Anolis sagrei: one gene and its partners. The protein of the gene in region 4 interacts with the protein of the main gene of each other region in a pairwise test. Links are inferred from orthologs where the notes say so. Each region holds a gene or a part of one and is shown on either strand. Other genes may lie near its edges.

The links. The genes of interacting proteins can lie anywhere in the genome.
Region 1: the proteins of ATF4 (region 4) and JUNB interact in binary tests that used the Homo sapiens proteins (3 or more experiments, as listed by UniProt). The link is inferred for Anolis sagrei from reciprocal best matches to the Homo sapiens genes ATF4 and JUNB.
Region 2: the proteins of ATF4 (region 4) and GCC1 interact in binary tests that used the Homo sapiens proteins (3 or more experiments, as listed by UniProt). The two-hybrid records come from large-scale screens. The link is inferred for Anolis sagrei from reciprocal best matches to the Homo sapiens genes ATF4 and GCC1.
Region 3: the proteins of ATF4 (region 4) and CCDC106 interact in binary tests that used the Homo sapiens proteins (3 or more experiments, as listed by UniProt). The link is inferred for Anolis sagrei from reciprocal best matches to the Homo sapiens genes ATF4 and CCDC106.

Annotation. Positions count from the first base shown.
Region 1 is NC_090022.1:111,655,916-111,663,644, forward strand, and holds JUNB (transcription factor JunB), read right to left. Parts: upstream 2,648-7,729; 5' UTR 2,275-2,647; coding exon 1,219-2,274; 3' UTR 575-1,218; downstream 1-574. UniProt on the Homo sapiens protein: Transcription factor involved in regulating gene activity following the primary growth factor response. Binds to the DNA sequence 5'-TGA[GC]TCA-3'.
Region 2 is NC_090025.1:200,499,460-200,507,811, forward strand, and holds the start of GCC1 (GRIP and coiled-coil domain-containing protein 1), read left to right. Parts: upstream 1-5,278; 5' UTR 5,279-5,405; coding exon 5,406-6,371; intron 6,372-7,029; coding exon 7,030-8,352. UniProt on the Homo sapiens protein: Probably involved in maintaining Golgi structure.
Region 3 is NC_090026.1:17,860,640-17,868,747, reverse strand, and holds the start of CCDC106 (coiled-coil domain-containing protein 106), read right to left. Parts: upstream 3,075-8,108; 5' UTR 2,838-3,074; intron 2,821-2,837; exon of another isoform or gene 2,721-2,820; intron 2,593-2,720; exon of another isoform or gene 2,337-2,592; intron 304-2,336; 5' UTR 268-303; coding exon 198-267; intron 1-197. UniProt on the Homo sapiens protein: Promotes the degradation of p53/TP53 protein and inhibits its transactivity.
Region 4 is NC_090025.1:163,050,805-163,058,141, forward strand, and holds the start of ATF4 (cyclic AMP-dependent transcription factor ATF-4), read right to left. Parts: upstream 3,342-7,337; 5' UTR 3,095-3,341; intron 1,252-3,094; 5' UTR 1,154-1,251; coding exon 937-1,153; intron 736-936; coding exon 1-735. UniProt on the Homo sapiens protein: Transcription factor that binds the cAMP response element (CRE) (consensus: 5'-GTGACGT[AC][AG]-3') and displays two biological functions, as regulator of metabolic and redox processes under normal cellular conditions, and as master transcription factor during integrated stress response (ISR).

The sequences.
Region 1 (7,729 bases), on a different chromosome or scaffold from region 4:
ATCCACCAGGAAGCAAAGGCAGGAAAGCACCCAAGCAGCAGAGCTATTAAGTTTGTTGCCCAACAGTTAATGGAGATCCAGGCCTCTTTGTATTGTTTTTAGTGGGACTGTGAGCTGCTTTGGGTCTCTGTTATGATTGTTGTTGTTTATCCCACTCTCTAAAGAGAGACTCAAAGAGGCTACTGCTAAAAGCAGTACAACTTAGAGCAGACCTGAGTCAACTTGGCCCTCTTAGTGTTTTGGACTTCAACTCCCACCATTCCTAACAGCCTCAGGCTCCTTCCTTTTCCCCCTCAGCTGCTTAAGTGGCTGAGGGGGGAAAAGAAAAGGGCCTGAGGCTGTTAGGAATGGTGGGAGTTGGAGTCCAAAACACCAGGAGATCCCAAGCTAGCCCATACCTGACTTAGAGTGACTAGAAACACATAAATATAATAACAACAAACCTCTCTCTTCCCTCGAAATGGAAACCAGAATGGCTTTTCCTAAACCAAAACTGATGGAACTCACTTTGAGGAAGTTTCCCACCCACTAAAAGCCCCATTTTGTCTCCAATTAAAAGAAGTACGCAGATAAATAAAGTAGTTAGAACATGTTTACTTAAATAGGTTCAATAAAAATTCCAAAACACAAATACAATCAGTTTCAGGGGAAGGGGGGGGGGGGAAATGAATGTGAGGACTCCGAAGAACTAATAAGAGCACAAGTAGTAAACAACCCCCTCCTCCCTCGCAGGGGCTCCACAGGGGGGGGCCCTTTCTCTCTCTCTAGTCCATAAGTCAAAAGGAGGAGAAAGAGGGCGGAAGTGCAGCCGGGCCCCTCTTCTTCTCTGGTCCCTCTGGGCTTTGGGGATAAATAGAGCGTCCCTTTTGTTCCTACTGGCAGGGCAAGGAGGTCAGGCAGGCAGGCGGCCCCGGTCCGTCCATCCGCCCTTCCCTTTCCGCCGCACCATCCAGCAATGCGGGCGGAGGAAGGCTTCCTTGTCTTTTTGTCTCGTCTTAAATACAAACACACAATTGCACTCTCACATACAGCGATTTTAGAAAAAGAACTCGTACACACTCAGCACAGGTCGGCTTCTGGATCCACCAGATTGAGAGTCACGGACATGGGGGGAGGGGAGGAGGAGGAGGACTTCCCCCCTCCGTCCCTTTGTAAACTTTTGGCATGAGAGTCCCTTCTCTTCTCTCTCTCGCTCTCTGTCTCTGTCTCCATCATCTCTCAGAAGGACTGCTGCATCTTGGCAGTAAGGAGGAGCTGGCACCCACTGTTGACGTGGCTGAGGACCTTCTGCTTGAGCTGGGCCACCTGGTCGCGCAGGGCACTGGCAGCACTGGAGAGGCCGGCGTTGTCACTCTTGAGGCTCTTGACCTTCTCCTCCAGGCGGGCGATGCGCTCCAGCTTCCTCTTGCGGCACTTGGTGGCCGCCAGCCGGTTCCGCAGGCGCTTCCGCTCCACCTTGATGCGCTCCTGGTCCTCCATGTTGATGGGTGACACAGGTGGGCTCTGCTGCACGTCCGGCACCGTCTGTGGCTCCTCCTTGAAGCCCCGCCCGGGGGCGACGGCAGCGTGGGGGTGGTGGGCGTGGGGGTGGTGGGCGTGGGGGTGGTGCCCGCCCAGGCTCAGGTGCTGCGGCAGGTAGCTCAGGTTGGCGCTCGGGAAGCCCGGCGAGCCGCTCAGGGCGGGCGGGTTGTAGCTGGTCAGGTTGGTGTAGATGGGGGGCGGCTCCTGCGGGAGCGAGGAGGCCCCGTACCCGCTGCTCGCCGTCGAGGAGGCCACGGATGCCGCCGCCGCTGCCGCTGCCGCCGCCCCGAGGGAGACATTGGGCGGCGGGAGGTGGTTCATCTTGTGGAGGTCGTCCAGGGCCTTGACGAAGCCGTCGGCGAAGCCCTCCTGCTCCTCGGTGGCGCCGCGCGGGTAGAAGTACTGTCCGGGCGGCGTGGGGGTGGTGGCGATGACGCCGCTGCTGCTCCCGTTCTGGACGATGAGGCGCTCCAGCTCCGGCGCGGCCAGCTTGAGCGAGTTGACGGCGTTGGCGCCCTCCGAGGGTGGGTGCGGGGGCAGGCCGGCCGGGAAGAAGTCCTCCTGGGCGCGGAGCTGCGGGTGCTGGGCCGGCGGGTGGTGCGCCAGCGGCGCCTTGAGCCCTCGGAACGACGACGAGGAGGGCTCCGCGGAGAGGTTCAGCGCCATGCCCGACGCCTTCAGCGCCTTGTAGTCCTGGCTGTAGCCGGAGAGAAAGGAGTCAGGGTAGAAAGGCTGCTCCATCTTCGTGCACATCAGAGAAGGGCAGGCAGGCAGGCAGGGAGGGCGGAAGGAAGGAATGAAGGGAGGGCAGGAAAGAAGGAAGTGGGGCGCGCTCGCTCGCTCGCTGGCTCGCCTGCCTTCCTTCCTTCTTCCTTTCTTCCTTTCTTTCTTGCTGGCTTCCCTCCCTCCGGGCCTGGCTTGGGGCGTGGGTCGCGCTTCGGCTCCCGAGACCGCTTCCGCTGGCTTGCTTCCTTGCCTGCGTCCCTCCCCAGTCTTTCCGGCGGCTTCCACCCGTTCGTCCCCACTGGCAAAAAGGAGCTAAAAGGAGCAGGTACCGTACCGGCCACTGAAGAAGAAGAAGAAGCGGGAAGTGGTGGTGGAGGCTGTTGTTGCCGCTGCGCTTGCTGGGGTTTGGGTGCCGCCCGGCGCCGCGAGTGAGTATTCTGAGCTCCAGCGTGCGCTTCCCGGTCCCTTTTATACCGGCCGCGCGCGCGGCGGTGGCGGAAGCGCGCCCTGATTGGCCGCGGCGCCCGCGAGTGTCTCCGCCCCTCCCACGGCGGAGAAGGAGAGGGCGGGGTGGGCGCTGAGCTCATTGCTCGGCAGCTCGTGCTCCAGTAAACAGCCCGCGGGAGGGGGAGTTGTAAGGGAGCCGCGCGTCAGAGGGAGCGGGCATGGGCGGGGGAGGGGAGAGGGACGCACGCACGCACGCAGGCACGCAGGCCAGGGAAGGAGGGAGGGAGGGAAGGAGGGGGCGTGCCCACGCTCAGCCGGGACGCGGGTTGGAACGTCCGTAGGGTGCTCGCGTTTGCATGTTTTCCCCATTGGGAGAGTGACGTCGTGGGCTGAGCGTGGACCGGGACTCGGGGGAGCAGGGGTCGAATCCCCTCGCTGCGTGATCTTAGGGAGGCCAATTTCACCCTCTCAGGGCCCCTTCCCACCCAGATATCTTCTTTGATGTCTTGCGGAAGGCTTAACATGGCCAGAATCACTGGGTTGTTGTGTGTTTTCCAGGCTGTATGGCCATGTTCTAGAAGCATTCTCTCCTGACGTTTCCCCTGCATCAGAGGCTGTGAGGTCTGTTTGAACTGGGTTATCTGAGTCCAAACTGTTCAATGTGGGTTTGTTCAATGTGGAACAAATCAAGAACTTTGGCCCAAAAGCAAGGCGCTGGCTGCCGGAGCTGATGAACAACTGCACGGCATCCCGTCAGATCCCCAAAATCTGGAGGAAAGCAAGAGACTCATCGCCATCTTGAAGCCAGGCAAAGACCGCAATGACCCAAAAAGCTACAGACCAATCTCCCTGCTGTGCCACCTCTACAAAGTTCTGGAGAGACTTATTTTGCATAGAATTATGGAAAAAATAGACCCCTGTCTGATCCCACAGCAAGCTGGCTTCAGGAAAGGCAAAAGCTGCACATCGCAAATGCTGAACCTGACTCAGCACATAGAAGATGGCTTTGAAAGGCAGCAGATCACAGGAGCTGTCTTCATAGACCTGTCAGCGGCTTATGATACTGTGAACCACCGCCTCCTCCAAAGAAAAATGTATAATATCACAAAGGACTACCACCTCACCCGCCTCATAGGAAACCTGCTACGAAACAGGAGCTTCTTTGTTGAGTTCCAGGGCCAGAGAAGCAGATGGCGGAAACAGGAGAACGGCCTGCCTCAGGGGAGCGTGCTTGCCCCATCCATGTTCAACATCTACACAAATGACCAGCCACTGCCAGAAGAGACAGACAGTTTCATCTATGCTGATGATCGTGCCATTACTGCTCAAGCAGGGAGCTTTGAGATGGTTGAACAGAAGCTCTCCGAAGCTCTAGGTGCTCTCACTGCCTATTACAGGGAAAACCAGCTGATCCCTAATCCATCTAAAACACAGACATGTGCTTTTCACCTTCAGAACAGACAAGCATCCCGAGCTCTGAGGATTACCTGGGAAGGAATCCCACTGGAGCATTGCAGCACACCCAAATACCTGGGAGTCACTCTGGACCATGCCCTGACCTACAAGAAGCACTGCCTGAACATCAAGCAAAAAGTGGGTGCTAGAAACAATATCATACGAAAGCTGACTGGCACAACCTGGGGATCACAACCCAACACAGTGAAGACATCTGCCCTTGTGCTATGCTACTCTGCTGCTGTGGAACACATCTCACCACACTAAAACAGTGGATGTGGCTCTTAATGAGGCATGCCGCATTATCATGGGGTGTCTGCGCCCTACACCACTGGAGAAATTACACTGTCTAGCTGGTATTGCACCACCTGACATCTGCCAGGAAGTAGCAGCCAATAGTGAAAGGACCAAGGCAGTGACATCTCCAGCTCATCCCTTGTTTGGGCATCAGCCAGCACATCAACGACTTAAATCAAGAAATAGTTTTCTAAGATCTACAGAGACACTCACTGGAACACCCCAGCAAGCGAGAGTCCAAAAGTGGCAGGCTCAAACCCAGAACGTCAATCAATGGCTGATACCAAATGAGAGACTCCCCCCTGGGCACACAGAAGACTGGGCGACTTGGAAGGCACTGAACAGACTGCGCTCTGGCACCATGAGATGCAGAGCCAATCTTAAGAAATGGTGCTACAAAGTGGAATCCACGACATGCGAGTGTGGAGAAGAGCAAACTACAGACCACCTGCTGCAATGCAACCTGAGCCCTGCTGCATGCACAACGGAGGACCTCCTTGCAGCAACACCAGAGGCACTCCAAGTGGCCAGATACTGCTCAAAGGACATTTAATCAACTACGAAGCTGGCAAATTCTGTGTTTTGTCTGTTTGTTTGTTTGTTTTTGTTAAAAATGCAATACAAATGTCTGGTTGCTGATGACACGATAAATAAAAGGTGGATTTTATGCAACTGTGTGGAAGGGGCCTCCATATGTCATCGTAAAGGCACGCAAGAACAACAAAAGCTCCATTGGACTCAAGGCCCTTCCAGACAGGCCCAGTATCCCAGGATCTGATCCCAGGTTTTCTGATTTAAACTGGATTATATAAGTCCGCATTGCCAGATAATCTGAGATAAACAGAAAACCTGGGAGCAGATCTTGGGATATAGGGCCTGTCTAGAAGGGCTCCAAGTGGGATGTTGATACTAATGGCCACATTTTTGTCTATAGATATGTCTCTGGCCTTTTGGGGGCTTAAAATATATTATAATTATATATTTTATGTTACATGTAATATTACTAATAATATTACAATATAATGGAATAGTACAATATAGTAATATTTAATACTGAGATTGTGCTATGCTAATAATAAAATATATTATTATACAATATATATTATACAATATAATATATTGTATGTGTGTGTATATATATCTTGTAAGCTGCTCTGAGTCTCCTTCGGGGTGAGAAGGGCAGCATGTAAATGTCATAAATAAATAAATAAATAAATAAATAAATTTTGTTTTTACCACATCAGTCCTTTCCATCTCCTGCCTCGGATTGGAGCCAAAAGATTTCCCTGGGATGTAGATTAATACAGTTTGACACCACTTTAACTGCCATGGCTCAATGCTATAGAATTATGGGGGATGCAGTTTGGAGAAGAGGCTAAAGGTCTTGTGAAACTACAACTCCCAGGATTTTATAGCATGGAGCCATGGCAGTTAAAGCAGTGTCAAACTGCATTGATTCTAAGTGTACATGCAACCCTAGACAGGGCCCTTCCACACAGCCCTATATCCCAGAGAATCCCACATTATCTGTGTGTGGACTCAGACAACCCAGTTCAAAGTATATCTTTGTGGGATTTTCTGCCTTGATGTCCTGGGATACAGGGCTTTGTGGAAGGGCCCTTAGTGTGCTGGGTGGCCTTTGGCGGGGCCGCCTCAGCCGAGAAAGCACAACTTTGCCTTCTCAGAGTTACTGTGACTGGGGATGAAATCCAGTAATGCTCAGTAAACTGCTAGACCACTTTGGACTATTGGAGGGAAGTGTGTCCTATGGAGGTGTTTCCCTTCAGAACTGTAGGTGCAGGCGAGTTTCACTCTCCAGGCACCCAAAGCCCCGCCTGGATCTGTTGCCTCGGAAGAACTCCCAGCCTTTCCAAATCCCAAGGGAAGCTGTCCTGTGGAAGAACTTATTTTTGGTTTTGTATCTGAACATGTATATGGTGATTCTTAGCAATGCCTCCTTATAGAAATATGAAACAATAACTAACATACAGATGGGAACTTGTAGTTCTCCAGATTTTGTTGGACTGCAACTCCCATCTGCCTAGCGAGCATAGCCAATGTCAAGAGAGGATGTGCACGTAGTTGCTGCCGTTGGTTGCTTTTCCCTTTGGTGCTTAGTATGGATGGTTTTGTGTGTGTTCCTGCTTCTTCTATAGCAGGCCTGGGCAAACAGCTGGTAGGCTGTTAGGATTTGTGGGAGTGTATAATGTGTATTGGGGATGGCATTTAATTTAGTTGTACGAAATGTCTTGTCCTACATTGACAGAATACAAACCTAATACATGATGTATACCCAGAATTGGTACACGTAAGTCAACAAAATGCTAAGCAGCAAAGGAACTCCTTGATAGAAGTTTCTCTATGGATGCACGTACAGAACACTCACATATCAAATGCAAGGAAATAGTATACAGTACACAAACACACACCCCTTTAAAATCATAATCCAAAGGCAAAGTTACACCAAGCATGTTCAAAGTAAACACAGCATTGAGCTATGGCAGTTTTAAAGTGAGGCGGGACTACATTAATTCCACTGTGTAGATGCACCCCAAGGGCCACAACATACAAGAAATTCAAAGTCCTCAACCCCTATTTCTATTTTTATTATTTGGTACATAGTAGGAGCAGTGGTGGCATAATGGGCTAAACCCTTGTGGCAGCTGAACTGCTGACCTGAAGGTCGACGTTTCAAATCCGTAAGACAGGCTGAGCTCCTGTCAGTCAGCTCCAGCTTCCCATATGGGGACATGAGATAAGCCTCCCAGAGGATATTAACACATCCAGCAACATCTCTGCAGACAGCCATTTCTTTCACACCAGAAGCGACTTGCAGTTTCTCAAGTTGCTTCTAACATGATTTTAAAAAGTCTAGTACACCATCAAGTTTAATGCTTCAAAAAATGCCCTGCCCATGAGGATCCTCTCTGGTAAATTCTATTGGCATGGAAGGAATAAAAAGAAAATGGGTGAGATAGATGGAGGAGGCAAGAGGAATAAATGTGTGCACCATTACACCTCATTAGGTTATGCTTGGCAACTCAAGGGTTAAGCTACAGGCTTTGAGCAAAAGGTGAGTTTTGAGGAGACCACACAAATGCATACATCTAAAAACTCTGATATACAGGGAGATATACTCGACCCAACCCATGCGCCACAGCTAGAAGTGCAAGCAGCAAAGTAATAATCAAGCCCGGTGGCCCAGCTTTGGGTAGGTCTCGTCTACAAACAAGGGTATATAATACAGATAATTCTCTGTTTTGTTCCCTGGTGTGTACAGATG
Region 2 (8,352 bases), about 37 Mb from region 4:
CTAAAATAAGGTGCGTCATGGAGGAACCCCAATTTCAGAAGCTAGGGACTAGCACCTGGATAGTAACCAATACAGTACAGGATAACAATTTAAAGTGCTAAAGGATTAAGGTGCTGATAATATAAAGTGCTAGAATTGTACAAAATAACAGCACCACCTAATCTGTTGGTAGAGATGTTAAGACACACAAAATCAAGGCAATGAACGACTGAAAATGGATCAAAAGGTGGATTGGTATTGGTCCTTCCGGAGATAAAGCTAGTGTCCGCAAGGATGATCAACGGCTGAAATCGGCCCGATGGTAAAGGATGGACACGCAGGTGGACAGCACAGTAAATTGAACAGCACAGCGGTCGGCACAATAGGTTGAACAGCACAGGTAGTCGGCACAATAGATAGTTAGTCAGCACACGTCGGACAACCAAAGTCGGTCAGCACAGCGTTGGCCTAAAGTTGGTAGCGTCGATGGCATACACAGGTTGGCCCCAGTGATGCTCTGGAGGGGTGCGATAACCGCACCACGAACCAAGATGGCGGCCGCGTCAAGACCTGGGGCGGCAACTCAAGCCACCCCGGGGTCCTAGCGCCGCACGCCGACAAGGCCAGCAAACTGTGAGTTATCCCGGCCCCAAAAGCTCCGGTCGACTAATCTGTGGTTTGGGAGGGAGCGTGCTCGGACCCAACTAGAGGTGGGCCTCGCTCCACCTCCACTCTTCTCTTCTCGGGAGCCGACTCGCACGGCTGAAGCAGCCAGATGTCCGAGGCTGCAGCTGGAACGCAAACCGGCTGGGCCGAGCAGGAGGGGGCGGCGTGGGTGAAAACAGCCCTCTCGGAGGTCAGTCTGCCAACCCGCTGGGCAGCCAAGCAGCCGAACAAAGCCTCCACTTCTCCGTCCAGGTACAACGTCCAAGCTAAGATTATCGAAGCTGGAGACTGGAGGGTGTAAGGGGGTCCAGAAGGGGTCCAGTAGCTGGGAGGTATGGAGCTTGGGGCCAACAATGGCGGTGGCCCAGTTGTCTTCTCCTTTCCTCCTTCCCCGTTTGTTCGTCTTCTTTCTCCGACGCTCCCCGAAACAGGTCTCCAAGCTCACTTTCGTGACCCTGGGAATTACTGTTTGTGTGGGGGCGGTTTTTTAAGAGTCCAAAAGGGGAAATAGAGCCAGAATATGGTAAATTGAGGCCCCTCTCTTACCCTGGGAAGAAGGTTCGCTGCTTACCACGCCGCCATCATTTTGAGTAATTTGTAGTTTGTAGTTTGTAAATAGTTCGACTTCAAAGAGCTCCCATTCAAACAAATAATTTACTCTTATGTCCAGTCTCTATGGGTAGCTTATTCAGCAAGTTTCCTTTCTTTGCTCTTTGCTCTTTCTTCCCTCCGTTTCCTTTATCTCTCTTTACTTTTTGTTTCTTTGTAACTCCAATTAATTAATCTTAATGGAGGCGGTAAGCCGCAATACCATCCCATTAGGTCGGCGTCCTCATTATTGTTATTATTTATAGTATTTTAATGTAATGCACTATAATGCTAATAATAATATGATATCATAATTATATATTTATATTGCAATTGGTATTACTAATAATATTAAAATATATTGTATGTCTATAATATACCTTGTTAGCCGCTCTGAGAAGGGTGGCATAGAAATGTCGTCAATAAATAAATAAGTATTGTTGAAGGCTTTCATGGCTGGAATCACTAGGTTCTTGTGGGTTTTTTCGGGCTATATGGCCATGTTCTAGAGGCATTTTCTCCTGACGTTTCGCCTGCATCTATTGCAAGCATCCTCAGAGGGAGTGAGGTCTGTTGGAATTAGGACAATGGGTTTATATATCTGTGGAATGGCTGGGGTGAGGCAAGGAGCTCTTCCCTGCTGCAGTTAGGTGTAAATGTTTAGCTGATCACCTTCGTTAGCATTTGAAGGCCTGGCTGAGCCTGGGGCAATCTTTTGTTGAGAGGTGTTAAGATGTGCCTGGTTGTTTCCTCTCTGCTGTTTTGCTGTTGTAATTTTAGAGTTTTTTTAATACTGGTAGCCAGATATTGTTCATTTTCATGGTCTCTTCCTTCAAATGGTAATGAAGGTGGTCAGTTGAAACATTCACACTTTGCTCCAGCAGACAAGAGTCCTTTGTCCCACCCTGGTCATTATTCCACAGATATATAAACCCATTTTTCCTACTTCCAACAGACCTCTCAACCTCTGAGGATGCTTGCCATAGATGCAGGCGAAACGTCGAGAGAAAATGCCTCTAGAACATGGCCATATAGCCCGAAAAAACCCCCAAGAACTTAGTGATTCCAGCCATGAAAGCCTTTGACAACCAAGCACAGCTTAATACCTCTCAACAAAAGATTTTCCCAGGCTCAGCCAGGCCTTCAAATGCTAATGAAGGTGGTCATTTGAAACATTCCCACCTAGCTCCAACAGACAAGGGTCCTTTGTCCCACCCTGGTCATTATTCCACAGATATACCAACCCCTTTTCCTAGTTCCAACAGACCTCACTCCCTCTGAGGATGCTTGCCATAGATGCGGGCGAAACGTCAGGAGAGAATGCCTCTAGAACATGGCCATATAGCCCGAAAAAACACAGAAGAACGTAATAAATAAGTAAACCAACATCCGGGAACGGGGCGGCCCCCAAGCAGCTGAAGCCCCTCAGCTTCGCTCTGGCTGCTCACGGGCACCACCGTTTGCGCATGCGCCGCAGTCCTCCCTCGCTCCCTCCCTCGGTCCTTTCCTGCGCATGCGCGAGAAGGCAGGCCGGCCAATAAGCAGTCAACCACCGGGGTCCTCGGACGGAGGAAACGTTTGTGCGCATGCGCAGCAAGCGCGTTGCTGCTGGCGGAGAAGAGGTGAGTGGGGCTGGGCCGCGACTCCGGGTTGGCGATTCTGGCCAGCGGATTCTCATGGGGACACTCCGCCAGGCCCTCTTACCTTCCCTCTCTCCGTCCCTCGCAGCCGGTGGAAGTGAACGGGAGAACGGGGCAGGGGAGGGGGAAGCGGCCCGCGGGCAGCAGGCTCTCCCTGCCAGGCACGCTCGCCTTGGCTGACTTAGGCTTCCGTGTGCATGCTTCTTACGTTGTGAACTGGGTTGGGTTGAGTGCCGTCGTTGATTGACAGCTCTGCCGATGTGTCCTGGCCCTCTGCCCGCCCCGAACCCCCCCTCCCCCCCCCGAGGTGAGAAGGGCCGCACACGAGGGCAGTAAACACTTAGAATCCTAGACTCCTAGAGTGGGAAGGGACCAACTCCTGGGCCATCCTCCAGTCCAACCCCATTCCGCCAAGAAGCAGGAATATTGCATTCAAATCACCCCTGACAGATGGCCATCCAGCCTCTGTTTAAAAGCCTCCAAAGAAGGAGCCTCCTTCCACCACACTCCCTCCGGGGAAGGCAGAGAGTTCCACTGCTGAACGGCTCTCACAGTCAGGAAGTTTTTCCTGATGTCCATGAAATGTCTGTATGTGTTCGGTGTGCGGGAATGGGGACCCGATATTAGCCAGGTAAGGCTAGGGTTAGGGTTAGGGTTGGAAGAGACCTCCTGGGCCATCTTCCAGTCCAACCCCATTCTGCCAAGAAGCAGGAATATTGCATTCAAAGCACCCCTGACAGATGGCCATCCAGCCTCTGTTTCAAAGAAGGAGCCTCCGCCGCACTCCGGGGCAGAGAGTTCCACTGCTGAACGGCTCTCACAGTCAGGAAGTTCTTCCTCATGTTCAGGTGGAATCTCCTCTCTTGTAGTTTGAAGCCATTGTTCCATTGCGTCCTAGTCTCCAGGGAAGCAGAAAACAAGCTTGCTCCCTCCTCCCCCCTGTGGCTTCCTCTCACATATTTATACATGGCCCTCATCATATCCCCTCTCAGCCTTCTCTCCTTCAGGCTAAACATGCCCAGCTCCTTAAGCCGCTCCTCATAGGGCTTGTTCTCCAGACCCTTGATCATTTTAGTCGCCCTCCTCTGGACACATTCCAGCTTAGAGTCAATATCTCTCTTGAATTGTGGTGCCCAGAATTGGACACAGTGTGATTCCAGGTAAAGTGGTCTCACCAAGGCAGAATAGAGCATGGGGAGCAGGACTTCCCTGGATCTAGGCACTAGGCTCCTCTTGATGCCTGAGGCCAACATCCCATTAACATACATAAACAAGGAGGCCCAATGGGCTGAGACTCAGTGGCAAGATCTTCATTGAAAGTGTGTGGCTCCTGCAAGGACAAAGGTTTTGCAGTTTGATAAACCTTTTCCATGTTTTTATGGCAGAACCAATTAGGAAATGACATTTATAACCCAAGAACATAATAATAATAACAACAACGTTATTCTCAAATGCCGGCCCATCTCCTCGAAGGCACCTGGGGCGGTTTACAGAACGGCAGAAAGGACCTCAAAACAAACCCTAAAAGGACGCACAATGTACAACACTATAAAAGAAAAGTGCTGCTGCAAACATGGCCTAGCTGTGAACAAGTGCAATGCAGGCATGTAGCTGGCCGGGGGGGGGGGGGGGGTTCAGCCCCCCCCCCCGAAATTCTGATGGTGGTCCGCGAGAAGGCCTTACTGGTGCATTATTTAAACTGCTATGTTTATTGATATCATGATCTGATCACTATACTCAATATATTCCATATGCATGATGGGGGTATTGGGGTAACGATGCAAAAGGTTTGCTAGGGTAGACCCTCTTTCACTCAGGCTCAGCCCCCCCAAACCGAACTCAGCCCCCCCGAAACAAAATCCTGGCTACGGGCCTGCAATGGGATAAGTGCACGCTGCAGCAATGGAGAGTGGGCATCGCATCAAGGGCAAGGATGTGCGGTGACTACTGCGTAGAACTACAAGGGACCGGGCATTCTCAAAAAAGGACAGGGCCCCACGGAAGGAGGGCGGGGGGGGGGGGCTGCCTCATCTCCCTGGGGAGGGCGCTCCAAACCAGGGGCCCCCACCACCACGAAGGAAGGCCCTCTCTCTCCCTCATCCTCGGAGGTGGGAGCGAGAGCAGGGCCTCCCCAGCAGATCTCAGAGCCCGCAGACACGAGGGTCCTGTGTGTTTATGCCGTGGGTCAGCAGAGAATTGGCTGCAGTTTTAAGATCAGCCCAAACGATTGGATGCCGTTCAAGTATGTTGTTTTGTTGTTATTTTATGATGTTTTAAACTTACTATCAATGTATTTGGATAGTTGTTTACATGATTTTAATATGTGGTAAGCTGCTTTGGGTCCCGTGAGGGAGAAAAGCGGGATATAAATCAAGCTTTACTGTTATTGATGACAAGTCTGTGAATCCCTGGCTCTTTCTTCCAGCCTCATCCTCCAGAAGCGCCTGTCTTGACAAAGGGAGCTGGGGGAGGGGCCCCTCTCTCTGCTTTGGGGCTCATCCACCCCCCACTACCTCCCCCCCCCCGGTGGCCATGGAGAAGTTTGGGGTGAGCTTTGGCGGGGGGCCCAGCCGGAAGGACCTCCTGGAGACGGTGGAGCAGCAGCGGGAGCAGCTGGCGCAGTACCAGGCCCGCCTGAAGGACGTGGTCCGGGCCTACAAGGGCCTGCTGAAGGAGAAGGAGGCGCTGGAGGCCAGCCTCAGGGTCCTCTCCGTGGCCCACCAGCCGCTGGACGACCAAGAGCCCGCCGGGCCGGGGGCAGTTTCTGAATTCGGCCTGGACGCCAGCGAGGACAGGAGCTCCGGCCAGAGCGAGGAGGACGGTGCGGGGCCCGCGGTGGAGGAGGAGGAGGCGTTGTCGGCATCGACGGCGGTGGGGGCGGAGGAGGAGAGCGGGAGCAGCGGCAGCGGAGAGGCCCCCGGGGAGGGGGGCCGGCGCGTGCTGCAGCTGAAGGCCCAGCTGTCCACGCTGACGGCCTCCCTGGCCACGGTCTCCCAGGAGAAGTCCCGGGCGGAGGCCTCCTTCCAGGCGGACAAGCGGCGGCTGAGGCAGGAGCGGGAGGAGGCCGGGCGCCGGGCCGAGGAGGAGCGGGCGCGGCTGGCGGAGGAGGCCCGGGCGGCCCGGGAGCAGCTGGCGGAGACCAAGGCGCGGCTCCTGGCGCAGCAGCACGACCGGGCCCAGGAGCAGGCCGACCACGCCGCCATGCTGCGCGAGCTCCAGCGCCTGCTGCAAGGGGAGCGGGCCCTGCGCCAGGAGGCCGAGCGCGGGCTGGAGGAGAGCCGGGCGGCCCTGGCCGGGAGGGCGTGCGCCGCCGAGCACGCCGAGGAGGCCGAGCGCAGGGCCCGGCGCCTGCAGAGGGAGGTGGAGGCGCTGGAGGGGGAGCTGGGGGCCCTGCGGGAGGAGAGCGCCCGCCCCGACCCCCAGCTGCAGGCCCTGCAGGCCGAGGCCGCCGCCCTCCGCAGCCACTTCCAGGCCCAGCTGCTGCAGGAGATGCGCAAGGTCAGCCCCCCGAGGGCGAGGGGGGGGAGGGAGGGGGGGCAGTGGGTTGGGCACCTCTGCGGGCATCTGCTTTAGGACCTGGGGCTGTCCATACGGGAAGGGGGGGGGGTTGGATGCAGGGCCGTAGCCAGAAAAAAATTTCGGGGGGGGGGGGTGTTGAAAATCTCAGGGGGGGGGTTGAAAATTTCGGGGAGGGTTGAAAAATTTTTTGGGGGGGGAGGTTGAAACCTGCCTCCTATCTCACGCTGAAGCAAAGAGCACATCTGCAGTGGGCAGAGCAGCCTTCAATAGCCTGCAGCTCCGCCCTTGTCAACCACCTCCACCAAGTCTGGTCTCCTTAATGAGAGCATTCAACACACACACACACAACTTGGTTGCTACACTTCATCGGCTATTGCTGCAAGTAATGGCAGTGTGAATAAATTGTCAATATTTGCTTGACAATCACCCCCTCGCTACAGGCCTGGTTGGATGTGCCTGTGAGTTGTGTATCGCCCAGTGTCCAGCCCTGGGCAGTGCAGTTGGAAGAAGCTCTTGACCAGGTGGGTGGGGCCACCAAAAGGGTCAGAGGTGTGGAAGGAAGCCATGAATCCTCCTTGAGTGCAGCTGTAGCTTCATGTTGACCCTCTCCCTCTTCTCCCCCCCCCCCAACCCCCAGACGGCCCACGCGGAGGAGCGTGTCCGTGCGGAGGAGGACCGCGCGGCCGGCCTGGAGGCGCAGATTTCGGAGGCCTCGGAGCTCCTGGGCAGCTACGAGAGGGCCAAGCAGAGGGACCAGCTGGCCATGCAGCGGCTGCGCGAGCGCCTCTCCCAGCTGGACCTGGAGAACAAGACGCTGGCCTTGGCCACCTCCGGCCGCTGCCCGGCGCCGGACGTCGGCCTGGAGGAGGAGAGCGGCCTGGACGCCAACGTGCTCCGGGACAGGATAGAGAAGCTGCGGGCGCTGCTCCGGGCGGCCACCAAGCGGGACCTGGGGGAGGGGGAGGGGGAGGGGGAGGGGGAGGAGGGGGAGGAAGAGGGGTCCCTGCGCAAGGTGGCGGGGCCGCCCGAAGAAGAGGCCGACGGGGAGAAGGTATCCTCGGCCGCCTACTACCAGCGGGAGCTGAGGCGGCTCAAGGAGGAGTTTGAGCACTACAAGCAGCAGCACGGGGGGCAGAAGGGCGGTGGGGGGCAGCCGGCCCCAGGGGGGGGGAGCGAGGGGGGCAGCGGGGAGGGGGAGCTGGCGGAGGCGCGGGCGCAGCTGGCGGCCCTGAAGGAGACCTACGTGGCCCTGCGGCTGTCCCACGAGGAGCAGGCCCGGCGGCAGCGGGAGCAGGCGGAGGCCCGGCGGCAGGAGGCGTCCCGGGGGCAGCAGCGGCAGCGGGAGGAGGTGGAGCGCGCCCGGCGGGAGGCCCGCGAGGAGGCCCTGCGGCTGGAGGAGGAGCTGCGCCGGCAGCGGGAGCGCGCCCTGGCCGTGCTGGCCGAGAAGGAGCTGGAGCTGGAGCGCCTGCGGGCCCTGGCCTGGCCCTACGCCGCCGGCCCGCCCCCGGGCCCCCCCCGCCCCCCCTCGCCCTCCCTGCCGCCGGCCCCGCCGCCGGCCCCCTCGGCCCCCCAGGAGGACCTGACGCAGGCGCTGCGCCTCTCGGGGGGCCCCGGGGAGCCCCCCTTCCTGCTGTACACGGAGCAGCTGGCCCGGCGGGCGGTGGAGCTGGCGGGGCTGAAGCGGGAGAAGCGGCGGCTGGAGGGGGAGGCGCGGCGGCTGCGGGAGCGGCTCCTGGCGGCGGAGGAGGCGCACCGGGAGGAGCTGGGGGCCCTGCGGGAGCGGCTGCGGCAGAGCGCCCGCGAGCAGGGCCGGGAGGGCGCCAACCTGGAGTACCTCAAGAACGTCTTCTTCCGCTTCCTGACGCTGGCCGAGGGGCTGGGCCGCCAGCAGACCCTGGGCGCCATCCTGACCGTCCTGCACTTCAGCCCCGAGGAGAGGCTGGCCGTCATGGGGCCCCCC
Region 3 (8,108 bases), on a different chromosome or scaffold from region 4:
CTTACAGTACAGAACACTCTTAGGGTCTCTACCCATAACAAAATGCCTAAAGAAACTACTATGGAAGTAGGTCATGCTCACTTGCACATCTGATATGCTGGCATGAAGGGGAAAAAACAGCTTTCTTCCCCCCAATGTGTTGCGCTACAACTCCTAGTATCTTCTAGCCAACATGCCAGCTTCTGACATACACTTACCTTGCTTTGCTGCACCTCCACGACGTCTCCTACCTGCATTTGCCTGTTGGTAATGGTTACTTTCACTCATCGTCCTACCTCCCCAAGCAGGATGGGTACTACCAACCTACAGAAAAGGAATGGAAATGGTTAAAACATGGTGAGGAGTTGCTGAGGAGCCTTCTAATCAAGGTGAAAGAAGAAAGGGCAAAAGCTGGGTTGCAGTTAAACATCAGAATACCAAGATTCTGGCAGCCAGACTGATTGATAACTGGCAAATAGAGGGAGAAAACATGGAGGCAGTAGCAGACATTGTATTCCTAGTTGTGAAGATTACTGCAGACTCAAACTGCAGCCAGGAAATCAGGAGACGCTTACTTCTTGGGAGGAGAGCAATGTCCAATCTCGATAAAATAGTGAAGAGTAGAGACATTACACTGGCAACAAAGATCCACATAGTAAAAGCAATAGCATTCCCCATAGTAACCTATGGATGTGAGAGCTGGACCATAGGGAAGGCTGAGTTTAGATTTCCCTAAAACATAAACTTCAAAAGTAACCCCTCCTTTCAGGGACTTTCAGGTGGTTAGCTTTCATGTCTGCTATTCTCCCAAATTTTTAACAGTGGATCTGCTCATTTGGAGTGCAATGCAGGGTGCAATAGAACAGAGCAGTAATTCATTGTAAAGTTAGAAACTACATAATGGCCTTCCTGAAAATAAGGAGGGTTCACACTCTCCTTCACTATGAAATAACTAGGTGTATAGTATCTAGATCCATGTTACCCCTCTATTCTGCCTTGGTTAGACCACACCTGGAATATTGTGTCCAATTCTGGGCACCACAATTGAAGAAATATTGATAAGCTGGAATGTGTCCAGAGGAGGGCAACTAAAATGATCAAGGATCTGGAGAACAAGCCCTATGAGGAGAGGCTTAAAGAGCTGGGCATGCTTAGACTGAAGAAGAAAAGGCTGAGAGGAGACATGATAGCCATTTATAATATGTGAGAGGAAGTCATAGGGAGGAGGGAGTAAGCTTGTTTTCTGCTGCCCTGGAGACTAGGACGCGGAACAATGGCTTCAAACTACAGGAAAGGAGATTCCACCTTAACATTAGGAAGAACTTCCTGACTGTGAGAGCCATTCAGCAGTGGAACTCTCTGCCCCGGAGTGCAGTGGAGGCTCCTTCTTTGGAGGCTTTTAAACAGAGGCTAGATGGCCATCTGTCGGGGGTGCTTTGAATGCAATTTTCCTGCTTCTTGGCAGGGGGTTGGACTGGATGGCCCATGAGGTATCTTCCAACTCTATGATTGTATGTTGTGACTCTTGGCTATTTACGTCCACAGCTTTGTCAGCCTAGGCCAGAGTTGAGTTTCTACAGGAGGGATGGGCAACTGGTGGCCCTCCAGGTCAGACTGCCTCACATTGTTGCTCTATACAAACAAAAAGCAGACAAGTCTGGTGCGGGTTGCCATCTATCTCCTTTTAGATGGCCGTGGGTTTCCTACGAAATGTCAGGAGTCAGAGAATGCTTCTCGAACATGGTCATACAGCCTGGAAAGCTTACAACAACCCACAGTGATTCTGGCCATGAAAGCTTTTGACAATACTAGGGTTCCACTTTAACTGCTATAGCAACATCCTATGGAATATTGTCATTCTTCCCTTTGGGAAGAATATTTGGAATCTCCAAGTCAGAGGGTGTTCTGAAGACCTCATCACACTACAGAATGAATCCACTTTAAATCCGGTTTTTGCCTCCAGCAGAATACTGGAGTTTGTAGTTTAGTGGGGCTATTAAAGGCTCCTTCCTAAACTACAAACCCCAGAATTCTGCAGGAGGCAGAAACCAAATTTAAAGTGGATTCATTCTCTAGTGTGATGAGGTCCTCTGTCTCTCTGGAACCTCAGTAAACGACAAGCCCTAGGATTCCAGACACAGGATGTTGCCATGGCGATTAAAACGAAGTCAACGCGTTTTACCACAGTGCAGTGTGACAGGGCCCTAAAACGAGGCGGTTTCTCTCTCTGTCTCAGGTGTGTTCGCTTTGTGGATCCAGGTAAGCGTCGGACTTTGGCTCCCACGGGGAAAGACCTCCCTGGTGGGCATCCCCAAGGAAGAATCCCGGGAAGGTGAGGGGTCGAGGAGCATGCCCACCTGGCAGGAACTGGGGCCAATCTGGAGCGTCCAGGAGATCAGGCTCTCTTTGGCAAAGGCTCGATTGGAGGCAAAGAAAACCAGATCCCCTCGATCCTCTGCAAAACGGGTCCCCGCTCCTCCAAAATGGCCCCGGATCCTCTCCCGGAATGAAAGACCCCTCCTCCTTCCCTTCCTCCCCAAATTCCGTGCGCCCCAGGACTTTGGGAACGCAAGGTTTTCCCTGGCGCTCCAGGGCGCACAGGTGATGGAGAGGCGCAAAGGAGAGGAGGGTCCTTTGGGGAGCCGAGCCCAAGCGCCCCCACCCACAGCCCCGCCCCAGGCTGAAGGGGAGCCCAAGGGCGAGGGGGCAGCGAGGCAACCCCCTCCTGGCCCAGCCCATACCTGGCTCTTTGGGGCGCATCCACCCCGGAGTGTCCGGACAGGCAAGTGCGGCTGGCGAAGGAGGAGCGGCCAAGGAGGAAAAGGAGGAGGAGCTGCCTCCAAGGGCGGGGGTCCTACCTGGCTCACGGAAGGAGGAGGGACAGGTCTCCTTCAAGGGGCTCCATCGCTTCTGAGGCCAGGCACGCACCGACAGGGAGTGACCACTGGCACGTGTGGATGAGCCATCGTGAGCACAGCCACGCGTGATTTTTTTTCGTGTAAGGAGCGACTTGAGAAACTGCAAGTCGCTTCTGGTGTGAGAGAATAGGTCGTCCGCAAGGACGTTGCCCAGGGGACGCCTGGATGCTTCATGTTTACCATCCTTGTGGGAGACTTCTTTCATGTCCCCGCATGGGGAGCTGAAGCTGACAGAGGGAGCTCATCCCCACTCTCCCCGGATTCGAACCTCTGACCTGTTGGTCTTCAGTCCCGCTGGCATAAAGGTTTAACCCATTGTGACACCCCCCTTCAGCGCTGGAAATTATGGAAGCCATCCTTCAAAAAATGCTTGTCTATGCTCTAAGATAGGTAATGGCGCTCCATGCAGTCATGCCGGCCACATGACCCTGGAGGTGTCTATGGACAATGCCGGCTCTGGCTTAGAAATGGAGATGAGCACCACACCCCAGAGTCGGACATGACTGGACTTAATGTCAGGGGAAAACCTTTACCTTTTTATGCTCTAAGATGGAACTGTAAGAAGGACCATCAATTGGTTCTAATGCAAGCATGGGCAAACTTCGCCCCTCCAGGTGTTTTGGACTTCAACTCCCACAATTCCTGAATTGCGAGAGTTGCAGTCCAAAACACCTGGAGGGGCAAAGATTGCCTATGCCTGTTCTAATGCATCTCTGGTGTTATTGGATGATATCCCAAGGGAACAAAACATGGCAAGTCTTTCATTTCACACCTTGCCTTTTGTTACTGCTTCAAACCTCTATAAACATGTGCTGCCATGGCCAAGAGTCAGACATTTGTGGGTGAGTATAATGCACTTCTGAGTATTCTTTGCCTAAGAAAACACTATGAGATTCACAGGGTTGCCATCAATCAATAGTGACTTGAAGGCATGCACACAAATACAATGTATCCATTCTTCAACCTCCAAATTGCAGCCATTAAGGATTCAACAGTGCTTCTTTCAACATGCTTCCTCTGACAAAGTTTCTGAGGTTCCAAAAGAAGGACTGGGTGAAAACTCAGCTGTGTGGGGAGGCTGGACACCTTCTATTTAAAAAAAGCTCTTCCAAAGAAATAAGGAGGAAGCCTGTCCTAAAATGATGACACAAAGGACTGTAGAAGAATGCAAAGGTGTTGGAGAGGATGCCAGAACATGTGCATGAAAAACATGAACTTAACACCAAAACACTCAAATAAGATTAAAAAGAGGACACCTGTGCCATTGGCTTTGGAAAACCATGATGCTTGATGCTGCAATAGACCTCACCCTAAATATATCACACATACTGTATCTACTGTATTCCTCATTAGGATATGAAGGGAAGAATAGTTGTGTTCTATGAGGGCAGAGGGGAGATTAAACTGATGTGATAATTCGAAGTCAGTGATGCTAGTCATGGTTGGTCCTGAAAAGGTCCGTTGGTTGGTTTGCTTGTTTGGTTGCGTGCTGCAAGTCGTTTCTGGAGTGAGAGAATCAGCTGTCTACAAAGATGTTGTCCAGGGGACACCCGGATTGTGCCACATGCACAATGGAGGACCTTCTTATAGCAACACCAGAGGCACTCTAAGTGGCTGGCTACTGGTCAAAGCACATTTAATAGAATGCCAAGTTTGCAAACTTTGTATTTTTTAAAAAAATATATAATATAACTGTTTGGTTTCCCCTGACATGATAAATAGTGATGCTAGTCTTGCAAAAACAGGAGCCAGATCACCTAGTTGGATTGGAAAGGAGTAGAAGATCCTCAGAAGATGAAAGAGAGCACCTTGACCAAGGCATGAGGTAAGTGGGTCTCACAGTCAGGATATATGGGCTCTTTAAGGAGTTCAACTACTTGCAGCTTGGTTCTTCTCATGTATGGCACTGGGGAGAGGGGGAATTGGAAGGTGAGGATGGGAACAGATACATTTCTACATAAGCAAGCTGTATTCCACATTGGCAGCAAACTACATTATTAAAGTAATGCAAGAATGACACAGTCCAACCAAAAAAATGTGTCTTGATGTCTTGGATTTTAGGTTTGTTCCTGGGGTTATTTATTGATTTATTTATTTACAACATTTATATGCCACTCATCTCACCCCGAAGGGTACTCAGAGGACTTATTTGGGATCTTGAAAACTGCATTGGATAGATCACATCAGCTCTAGTTTCTTTTATATGGTTATCGTTGTTTTCTATGAGTGAGCAGATGGCAACTGATAAATGTTGTATGTTCTGTATCATAGAAACTAGAACTGATAGGGGAAAACTGCAACCATTTTTGGAATATCTAGAAACAGGTCTAACATTTGAGGCACCAAAATGTGTGTTGGCCAGTGTTACAACTAAAGAAAAGACTGAAAGTGTAAGGAGCTCAGGGATGCATACAGCCCTCAGAGGACTTTGGCCATACTGGCCTGTGTCAGATAATGCACAATAAATAGTCCAGAATTTGGGGTCAGGGTGGAAAAGAGGCTAAGCTCCTTGTTTGGAAAGATGTTTTCCTATAAGCAAAGACAAGAGTCCAAAAAACATGTGTGTGTGGTGGGGAGGGGAGGGGGCTGGAAGATGGGGGTAATGGGGTTCTTTGTTTGGAGAGACATGCTTTTCCTCCAAGCAAAGACAAGAGTCCAGAAATGTGGGGTGGGGGTGGCCTGGCAATTTTCTTTAAGATGGGGGGTGCTTTTATTCCAAGTAAAGGTAACAGTCAAAAATAGTAAATAAATAAATAAATAAATAAATAAATAAATAATAATAATAATAATGGTAAAGGGTTTCCCTTGACATTCTTGATGTTTTACCATCCTTGTGGGAGGCTTCTCTCATGTCCCTGCAAACTACTAACCACCTAGGTTCTTGTGGGTTTTTTCGGGCTATAGAGCCATGTTCTAGAGGCATTTCTCCTGACGTTTCGCCTGCATCTATGGCAAGCATCCTCAGAGGTTGTGAGGTCTGTTGGAAGTAGGAAAAATGGGTTTACATATCTGTGGAATGGCTGGGGTAGGGCAAGGAGCTCTTCCCTGCTGCAGTTAGGTGTGAATGTTTAGCTGATCACCTTCATTAGCATTTGAAGGCCTGCCTGAGCCTGGGAAAATCTGTTGCTGGGAGGTGTTAATCTGTGCCTGGTTTTTTCCTCTCTGTTGTTTAACACCAGATTAACACCTCCCAGCAACAGATTTTCCCAGGCTCAGGCAGGCCTTCAAATGCTAATGAAGGTGATCAGCTAAACATTCACACCTAACTGCAGCAGGGAAGAACTCCTTGCCCCACCCCAGCCATTCCACAGATATATAAACCCATTTTTCCTACTTCCAACAGACCTCACAACCTCTGAGGATGCTTGCCATAGATGCAGGCGAAACGTCAGGAGAAATGCCTCTAGAACATGGCTCTATAGCCCGAAAAAACCCACAAGAACCTAGTGATTCCAGCCATGAAAGCCTTCGACAATATACTAACCACCTGCTGCAATGCAACCTGAGCCCTGCTACATGCACAATGGAGGACCTCCTTGCGGCAACACCAGAGGCACTCCAAGTAGCCAGATACTGGTCAAAGGACATTTAATCAACTACCAAGCTTGCAAACTTTGTGTTTTGTCTGTTTGCTTTGTTAAAAATGAGTGATTTATCTGTTGGGAGGCACAGGAGGGACAAGTTAAGGGGTGTAATTTCCCGCTAGGAATAATGTGAAGTGCACCTTATTCCTAGGACACGTATATTCTGGGTCAGTCACAGTATGGGAATTGTTGTGAATATGAATAAAGTATTGTTGTTTTTCAACTGCCGGCAGTTAGGAATTGTGGGAGTTGAAGTCCAAAACACCTGGAATGCCAAAGTTTGTCCATGCCTGGACTAAGTTCTTTGTTTGGAGGGCAATATGCTTTTTCCTACAAGCAAAGTCAAGAGACCAGAAATGCCTGGGAGGGGAGAGTTTGATTGAATATTTTTTAAAGGGGAAACTGCTTGTGGCACAATCAAAGAGAGACAAGAGTCCAGGAATTGGGGGAAGCAAGGGGAGCTACATAATCCAAAGATTAAAATCCAAATTTGTGGAGTTGGAGGTGGGTCTATGCTCTTTGTTGGGGTGGGGGGGTATGTGCTTTTCCAGAGGCCAGAAATGAGAGAGCTCTTTGTGGGTGGAAAGGGGGGCTCCATCCTAGAGCGATTCCCTGGCCCCTTGCACCCCTTTCCCCCAAAGTGGAAGGGGGGTTTCATAGAATCATAGAGTTGGAAGAGACCTCATGGGCCATCCAGTCCAACCCCATTCTGCCAAGAAGCAGGAAAATTGCATTCAAAGCACCCCAGCCAGTTTATCAGCTGTTAGGATTTCTGGGAGTTGAAGGCCAAAACATCTGGGGACCCACAGGTTGAGTACCACTGGTTTAAAAGCTTCCAAAGAAGGAGCCTCCACCACACTCCAGGACAGAGAGTTCCACTGCTGAACAGCTCTCACAGTCAGGAAGTTCTTCCTAATGTTCAGATTGAATCTCCTTTCTTGTAGTTTGAAGCCATTGTTGCATTGCACCCTAGTCTCCAGAAAACAAGCTTCCCTGACAGATGGCAATTTAGCCTGTTTAAAAGCCTCCAAAGAAGGAGCCTCCGCTGCACTCCGGGGCAGAGAGTTCCAGTGCTGAATGGCTCTCACAGTCAGGAAGTTCTTCCTAATGTTCAGGTGGAATCTCCTTTCCTGTAGTTTGAAGCCATTGTTCAGCGTCCTAGTCTCCAGGGCAGCAGAAAACAAATTCACTCCCTCCTTCCTATGACTTCCTCTCACTCATTTATACATGGCTATCATGTCTCCTCTCAGCCTTCTCTTCTGCAGGCTAAACATGCCCAGCTCTTTAAGCTGTTCCTCACAGGGCTTGTTCTCCAGACCACTGATCATTTTAGTCACCCTCCTCTGGACACATACCAGCTTGTCAATATCTCCCTTCAACTGTGGTGCCCAGAATTGGACACAGTATTCCAGGTGTGGTCTAACTAAGGCAGAATAGAGGGATAGCATGACTTCCCTGGATCTAGACACTAGACTCCTATTGATGCAGGCCAAAATCCCATTGGCTTTTTTTGCCGCCACATCACATTGTTGGCTCATGTTTAACTTGTTGTCCACGAGGAATCCAAGATCTTTTTCACACGAGCCAGGCATCCCCCATTCTGTATCTTTGCATTTCGTTTTTCCTG
Region 4 (7,337 bases):
CTCTACACTCTCCTGATAATGCCTTTTGCTCTAGCCTTTTCTTCTGCCGATACCTAGTAGCTGCAGTCTTATTTTGCTCCATCTTCTTCAGCTTTTTGTCTACTCTCTTTTCTCCCTTCATTTTCAATGCTACCTTTTCTGCAGGGTGATCATAAGGTGTGGGGCGCACAGAAACAATATGCACAGCCGTAACAGACTTGTCATCACTGAGAGAACTAACAGAAGTGGTAGGACTTTGCTGGGGTGAACACAAGTAAGATTCTGGGCTCATGCATATTCCACTATCATTATCAGAATGTGCTTCATCCTCCTTCTCACACTTTGGAATGACATTTAGTGGAATTACCACTAAGATATGGGCTTCCGTTTTCCTGTCTCCTTCAAGAACATCTATCTCGCTGCCTAGTTCTAAGGTGAAAGGGCTGCTGTCTGCAGTGGCAACATGTGACTCTGGAGAAAGGGCTAATGTCAGCAAGGGGCTCGGTGAAGCTTCCTGGTCTGAGCTGGTGGGGGGCTTTGGGGACTCAATAATTTGCTCTGGTGTCAGTGGAGTTTCTTCAATGGGAATTTCTTGAAAGGGAGGCTCAAGTGGATCACAGGTGTCTTCCAACGCGGCCATGAGCTCATCTGGTGAGACGGTGGATTCCTGATCATCAAGACCTAACAGCACATCAAAATCAAACTCCTTCAGATCCATGTTTTCCACCATCCAATCCATGCCAGAGAAGGCATCCTCTGTCAAGGAAAAGAAAAAAAATCATTTGAGAAAATTAAACGTTTTGCAAAAATACGTTCTTTCCTTTTATTTCTTCTATTTACACAATCAGATCATATCCAGTTGCCATTATACTAACACATTTCACTTTCACAGAACTAGTAGACCAACACCTCCCCCACTCCCCAATCTCCAGAATCCCTTTATCCCTCTGGTCTTACCCTGGCTGTTGTCTGTGGCATTATTCAATCTGTCCACAGCCAGCCAATGGGAGGCGCCCACTTTAGCCTTGTCGCCGGAGAACCCATGCGAACTGAGCTTCTTGGCCACCTCCAGGTAGTCATCTAAGAGTCCTAGACTTTCTTCAGCCCCCAAACACGGCTGGTTGAAGGGGGAGAGAAAATCCCCCCACAACATCTCTGTGTTTGAGAAGCTCATCTTGGCCAAGTTTCAGTACTTTGTCGTCGAAAAGGGTGGACAAATCGGTGGTGTCTTTGTCGAAAACAGCAAAGCTGCTGTGCAATGCTTTGAAAAACCTGGAATGCAAAGAAAATGGGATTACCAAGGTGACAACTTGTAAGGACCTTGAATTTACCCCTACAGTAGGATAAGGCATTTTATACATTATAGTTAAGCAGGAGTGTTTGCCGGATTCCAGGACTGGGTTTTTTTGAGGCGCCATCTGGAATCCAGACTCGATTTCTTCTGCATACCAACCCGCTCAACCACAAAATGGCGCCAACTAGGGGCTGTCAAATGTTTCCACTTCTGCCCGCCCACCTCCTGACTTTCCTCATGACCATATATGGTCTGAAGCAGAGCAGACGCTCCACCCGCCACTCCCTTCGCCTGATTCATGCCTTCATTTGCTACAACAGCTGCAGCCATTTCGTGCTCTACGTGTCCACGTCCCCACCCTATAACTAGGCCGCCATTTTATATCCTGCCACGTTTTTATTTCAGCTGGTCCAACTAGTTTTCACCTTTGACTATCTGTTTAATCCACACTGAGCAGAAGCACCTTAACAAATTCCAAGTTCTTTACATGGGCTTTCAGAGACAAAAAGTGGAGAAATGCCAATATACAAGGATGGAGGTGAAAGATAGCCACCTACAGATTTAGCGCTGTTCTAGACAGCACTAAAATAAACCATGATAGATCTAAAAAGAATCTCTTCTTGACATCAAGAGTTCTTGGCTTTCTAAGAGATTAATTTCCTGTGTACTCTAAACATTTACGTAAGACTCATGAATATCACCTAAAATATACATTAGTTTTCAGCAAACAGTAACGTGGCTGTTATTATTTATTTACTGTATTCATTACTGTATTTATATACCATCTTTCTCACCCTCGGAGGGGGACTCAAGGCAGTTTACAACATACTAATGGCAAAAATTCAATGCCAACATACAGTAAAACAAATCATAACTATTTGTTACATATACCTTTGACTTACAATCATTAAAACTACGAAACATGACAGATGAAACATTACAATCATCCTAGTATAATTATTAAATTTTAAAATCATTTAGTATGTTTTTGAAATAATTTTTATTGGTTTATGGTGCATAGAGAAAACAAAACTGGTGTCGGGAGGTCATGGGGGTTGGGTTCATGGGTGTGGGGTTAGAGGGACAATAAATGGTAAGTTATAATAATTGTACAAAATTGATTTTGCATATGTTTAACGAGTACTGACTGAATACCATTCTGTAAACTTGCATACCCTTTTGTATATCTTTTTCTTCTTTTTTTGTGTGGGTTGTTTTTTTCCCCTCTGAAATCATTTAGTATTTCTGACAGCTTTCAAAGGAAGCCTTGCATCTTATGACTGTGTGTGCTGATCGAGCAATATTTATGCTCCCCAGGAATTTCCTTCAGAGTGAAGGGAAATAACTTTGCCCACTAATTAGCCTAATTGAGTTACCTAGGGGAATTTGCATTCCCTTTGCGCCTCCTATTGCGAATTCCCAGAAGATTAGCTCATTGCTTTTTTCCCTCTTTGTAAACCTGAGTAAAAGGAACCCAGTTTCTCCCACAAGGTAGAAGACCTTGTAAAACTACAACTCCCCACTATGCCATATCATTGAGGCCATGGTAATTCAAAGTGGTGTCAAACACCACTCACATTCCACAGTGTATCAGGCCTGGGTCAACTTGGGCCCTCCAGGTGTTTTGGACTTCAACTCCCACCATTCCTAACAGCCTCAGGCCCTTTCCTTTTCCCCCTCAGCCGCTTAAGCGGCTGAGGGGCAAAAGGAAGGGGCCTGAGGCTGTTAGGAATGGTGGGAGTTGAAGTCCAAAACACCTGGAGGGCTCAAGTTGACCCAGGCCTGGTGTAGATGACCTCCTCTTTCGCTCGCCATACTCACGCCATGGCTGCAGGTGCCTTGAGGTGCCGAGGCCGCGGCCGCTTCTGCTGCGCCTCTGCAATGGCCGTTCTGCCGCTTGCGCTGCCGCCCCCTACGGTGCCATGGCGGCGCCTGAGGAAGCTCAAACCGCTCTGCGCCTCGTTGGTCTGAGCCGCGCCCGCAGGCCGCACACAAACGCCAATCACACAGAACCTCCTCCTTCGCAGACTTCAGCCGACAATGAGGACAATGGCGTCTTCGGCTTCTCCTTATATAGCGCAACGAGATCCGGCCGGCTCTTCTTCTGGGGCACGAAGAATCCTTCCGCTCAACCCGTCCCTTGATTTAAGACAGCTTCACTCGAGGAAACAGGCTTTGGCGCCCCCATCTAGAGATAAATAAAGGAATACTTCGCGGGGCTCTCCTCCATTGAGAGTCACGCGCCCCTCGTCCAAAAAAAAAAAAAACACTCCGCGGAAGGATCACGAGAACTATACTGCGCTCTGTGACATCATCCCGCTCGCTGGCGGCTCCTTTCGTGTCAGACCACGTGACGCCTCAAGGGATGTGCCGCTTCCTATTGGCTTCCCGAAATCTGGATTCCCTCCCCCCCCCGCACTCGAGGTGAGCACGTGGACAGACGGAACCCGATTGGCTAAGGGAGCCCTGTCCGCGTGGACTGTCTCCTGCTATTGGCTGAGAAGGGGAAGCGCGTCAATCGTTAGCCGTTGACGAAGAAGGGAAAGGGGCGCGGGGGTGTTCTTTTGTGTGAGGCAAATGGGACTGAAAGGTCTTCTGAGGGGTTTATTTATTTATTTTATTTACGGCATTTATATGACGCCCTTCTTACCCCAAAGGGGACTCGGAGCGGCTTACAAGATATATATATATACACACAATATATTGTATTATTAGCATAGTACAATATCAGTATTATATATTACAATATTGTATTATACTGTTATATTGTAATATTATTAGTAATATTACATGTAATATAAATATATAATTATATCCTATTATGTTGCATTACATTACAATATTAAAAATATATATTCTATTATATTATTAGAATAGCACAGGAGACAAGATGGAACTGTCTCCTGGCCCCCTCTTCACTGGCCCAGAGCGGCAGTTGGTGCTGGGGGGAGGGGTCCCCAGCTGATGTCATATGCAGGAGACAAGATGGAACTGTCCCCTGGCCCCTCTCTCTTCACTCTGGCCCAGAATGGCAGTTGGTACTGTGGGGAGGGGTCCCCAACTGAAGATATATGCAGGAGACAAGATGGGACTGTCCCTTGGCCCCCTCTCTCTTCACTCTGGCCCAGAGTGGCAGTTGGTGCTGTGGGGAGGGGTCCCCAACTGAAGATATATGGAGGAGACAAGATGGAACTGTCCCCTGGCCCCCTCTCTCTTCACTCTGGCCCAGAGCTGCAGTTGGGGCTGGGGGGAGGGGCCCCCAACTGATGACATATGCAGGAGACAAGATGGAACTGTCCCTTGGCCCCCTCTCTCTTCACTCTGGCCCAGAGTGGCAGTTGGTGCTGTGGGGAGGGGTCCCCAACTGAAGATATATGGAGGAGACAAGATGGAACTGTCCCCTGGCCCCCTCTCTCTTCACTCTGGCCCAGAGCTGCAGTTGGGGCTGGGGGGAGGGGCCCCCAACTGATGACATATGCAGGAGACAAGATGGAACTGTCCCTTGGCCCCCTCTCTCTTCACTCTGGCCCAGAGTGGCAGTTGGTACTGTGGGGAAGGGTCCCCAACTGAAGATATATGCAGGAGACAAGATGGAACTGTCCCCTGGCCCCCTCTCTCTTCACTCTGGCCCAGAGCGGCAGTTGGTGCTGGGGGGGGGGGGGGTCCCCAGCTGATGACATATGCAGGAGACAAGATGGAACTGTCCCCTGCCTCCCTCTCTCTTCACTCTGGCCCAGCGCGTGAGTTGGTGCTGGGGGTTTTGCTTCCACCTTTAAAAAGGCCTGGGTGCCTTGCTTTGGTTATGCCTTTATCAGGCTTAAGTGGCTGAGGGAGGGAAAGGAAGGGGCCTGAGGCTGTTAGGAATGGTAGGAGTTGGATTCCCAAACATCTGGAGGGCCCAAGTTTGCCCAAGCCTGCACTAGATGCAGGAAACCTTTCTTGCCTTGAAAGAGTTGGGGTTCAAAGCAAAACTTTTCCAATCTCTGAGGGCCAGTTGCCTAGTTCTGTTGACATCTGCCAAAGCTACTGGCTGCCCTCAGAGCTGCTTCCCCAGAGCCAATGCATTTGGGTGGAAATAATAACTTATTGCATGTACATACAATGGAATATGCTACTTCAGAGCGCAGTGGAGATTTTTAAGCAGAGCCTGGATAACCATCTGTTGGCGTTGCTTTGTGTGTTCCTGCATGGCTGTGGGTTGGACTGGATGGCCTTTGTGGTCTCTTCCAACTGTGAATATGTATGTAATGAGATATCTTGGAGAGGGCATCCCAAGTTTTTAAAGAGATTTAAAGATGGGCTTAAAGCCAAACTTAAAAGCTGTGGCCTAAACATAACTGGGAAGCCTTGGCCCTTGAACGCTCTAAATGGAGGTCAGCTGTGACCAGCAGTGCTGCAGAATTCAAAGAGGCATGAATGGAGGGAGTAAGGTGTCAAGAGGAAGGCGAGTCAAGCCAACCCTGTCCGGGACTGCCTTCCACCTGGAAACCAATGTCCTCACTGCGGGAGAATATGCAGATCAAGAATAGGGTTCCATAGCCACCTACATATCCACCGCCAAGACACTACACTTGGAGCTATCATCCTCAGGCTACTAGGGATTGCCTCAGAGAAGATCTGGGAGAGGGCATCCCAAGTCTAAATGCAACATTTATTTATGTTTCATATATATCTTATAGACATGGGGCCATGGTGTCACAACAGGTTAAACCTCTAAGCTGCTGAACTTGTTGACCAAAAGTTTGGTGGTTCAAATTTTGGAAGTGGGGTGAGCTCCTGCTGTTAGGCCCAGCTTCTGCCAATTTAGCAGTTCAAAAACATGTGAGTGGAAGTAGATTAATAGGTACCACTCTGGTGGGAAGATAGTGGCGCTCCATGCAGTCATACTGGCTGCATGACCTAGGAATTGGCTACGGTCAATGCCAGCTCTTCAGCTTAGAAATTGAGATGAGCACCACCCTCCAGAGTCAGATATTACTAGGCTTAATGTCTGGGGAAACCTTTACTATATACTATATATATGCTATGGTGGCGAAACAGGTTAAACCACTGAGTTGCTGAACTTGCTGGCCAGAAGGTTGGCGGTTTGAATCCGCAGGATAGCTTAGAAATGGAGTTGAGCACCACCCCTCAGAGCCAGAAAGGGAAGCCTTTACTTTTATCTGTTGTTTCTAGGCATTGAATATTTACGCCTTTGTGTTTGTGTATGCTGGAATCTGTCCTGAGTCCCCTTGAGATAGGGCAGAATACAAATGAAGTATTATTATAGTATAGTCTGAAGGTAATGTTATCCTATAATTTTAATAATTTTGTGATTGATCAGAAGGCAACGGTGTTTCTATATCAGCCAAATATGTGGACACTTTTGTGTCAGGCATGGCCAAACTTTGCCCCTCCCCCAGGTGTTTTGCACCAACTCCCACAATTCCTAATAGGCTGTTAGAAATTGTGGAAGTTGAAGTCCAAAACACCTGGAGGGCCAAAGTTTGCCCATGCTCGCTTTAAGTACAAGTGAATGACGGCAGCTCCTCTATCTAAAACAGGGGAAGGGAGATTAGAATTGAAGTTGGCTCTGGGAGGAGAGAGCCATAACTTTTGGACACCAGTATCTGCCAAGTGCTGAGTGCAGGCCTTTGTATGGGAACAAGACAAAACAAGATTCCTCTGGAAATCTGCTGCTAATGATGGTGTTCAGGATAGAGAGCATTCTTCTGTGTGGTAATTGAAGCATGAGATAGGACTGTCCTGCAAGCTCAGTTCTCCTTTGTGCTTCACACAGAACACAAGGCTTCTGCAAAGAACAGGCCCCTTTTGTCACAGGCTCCCAGCAGGAGATTTTGCTGAGAGCCTTTCCACACAGCCATATAATATCAAGGCAGATAATCCACAATATCTGCTTTGAACTAAGATATCTGAGTCCACACAGCCATATAATGCAGTTCAATGTGGATTATATACAGCTCTGTGTGTGGTGGGGGGGGGGGCGGGGGGGGCTGAATACAGTTCTTCTCGTGGCACTGTTCAAGAGAGAAAGAGATTGGAAAGGTGTTTTTGGGCCCCATCT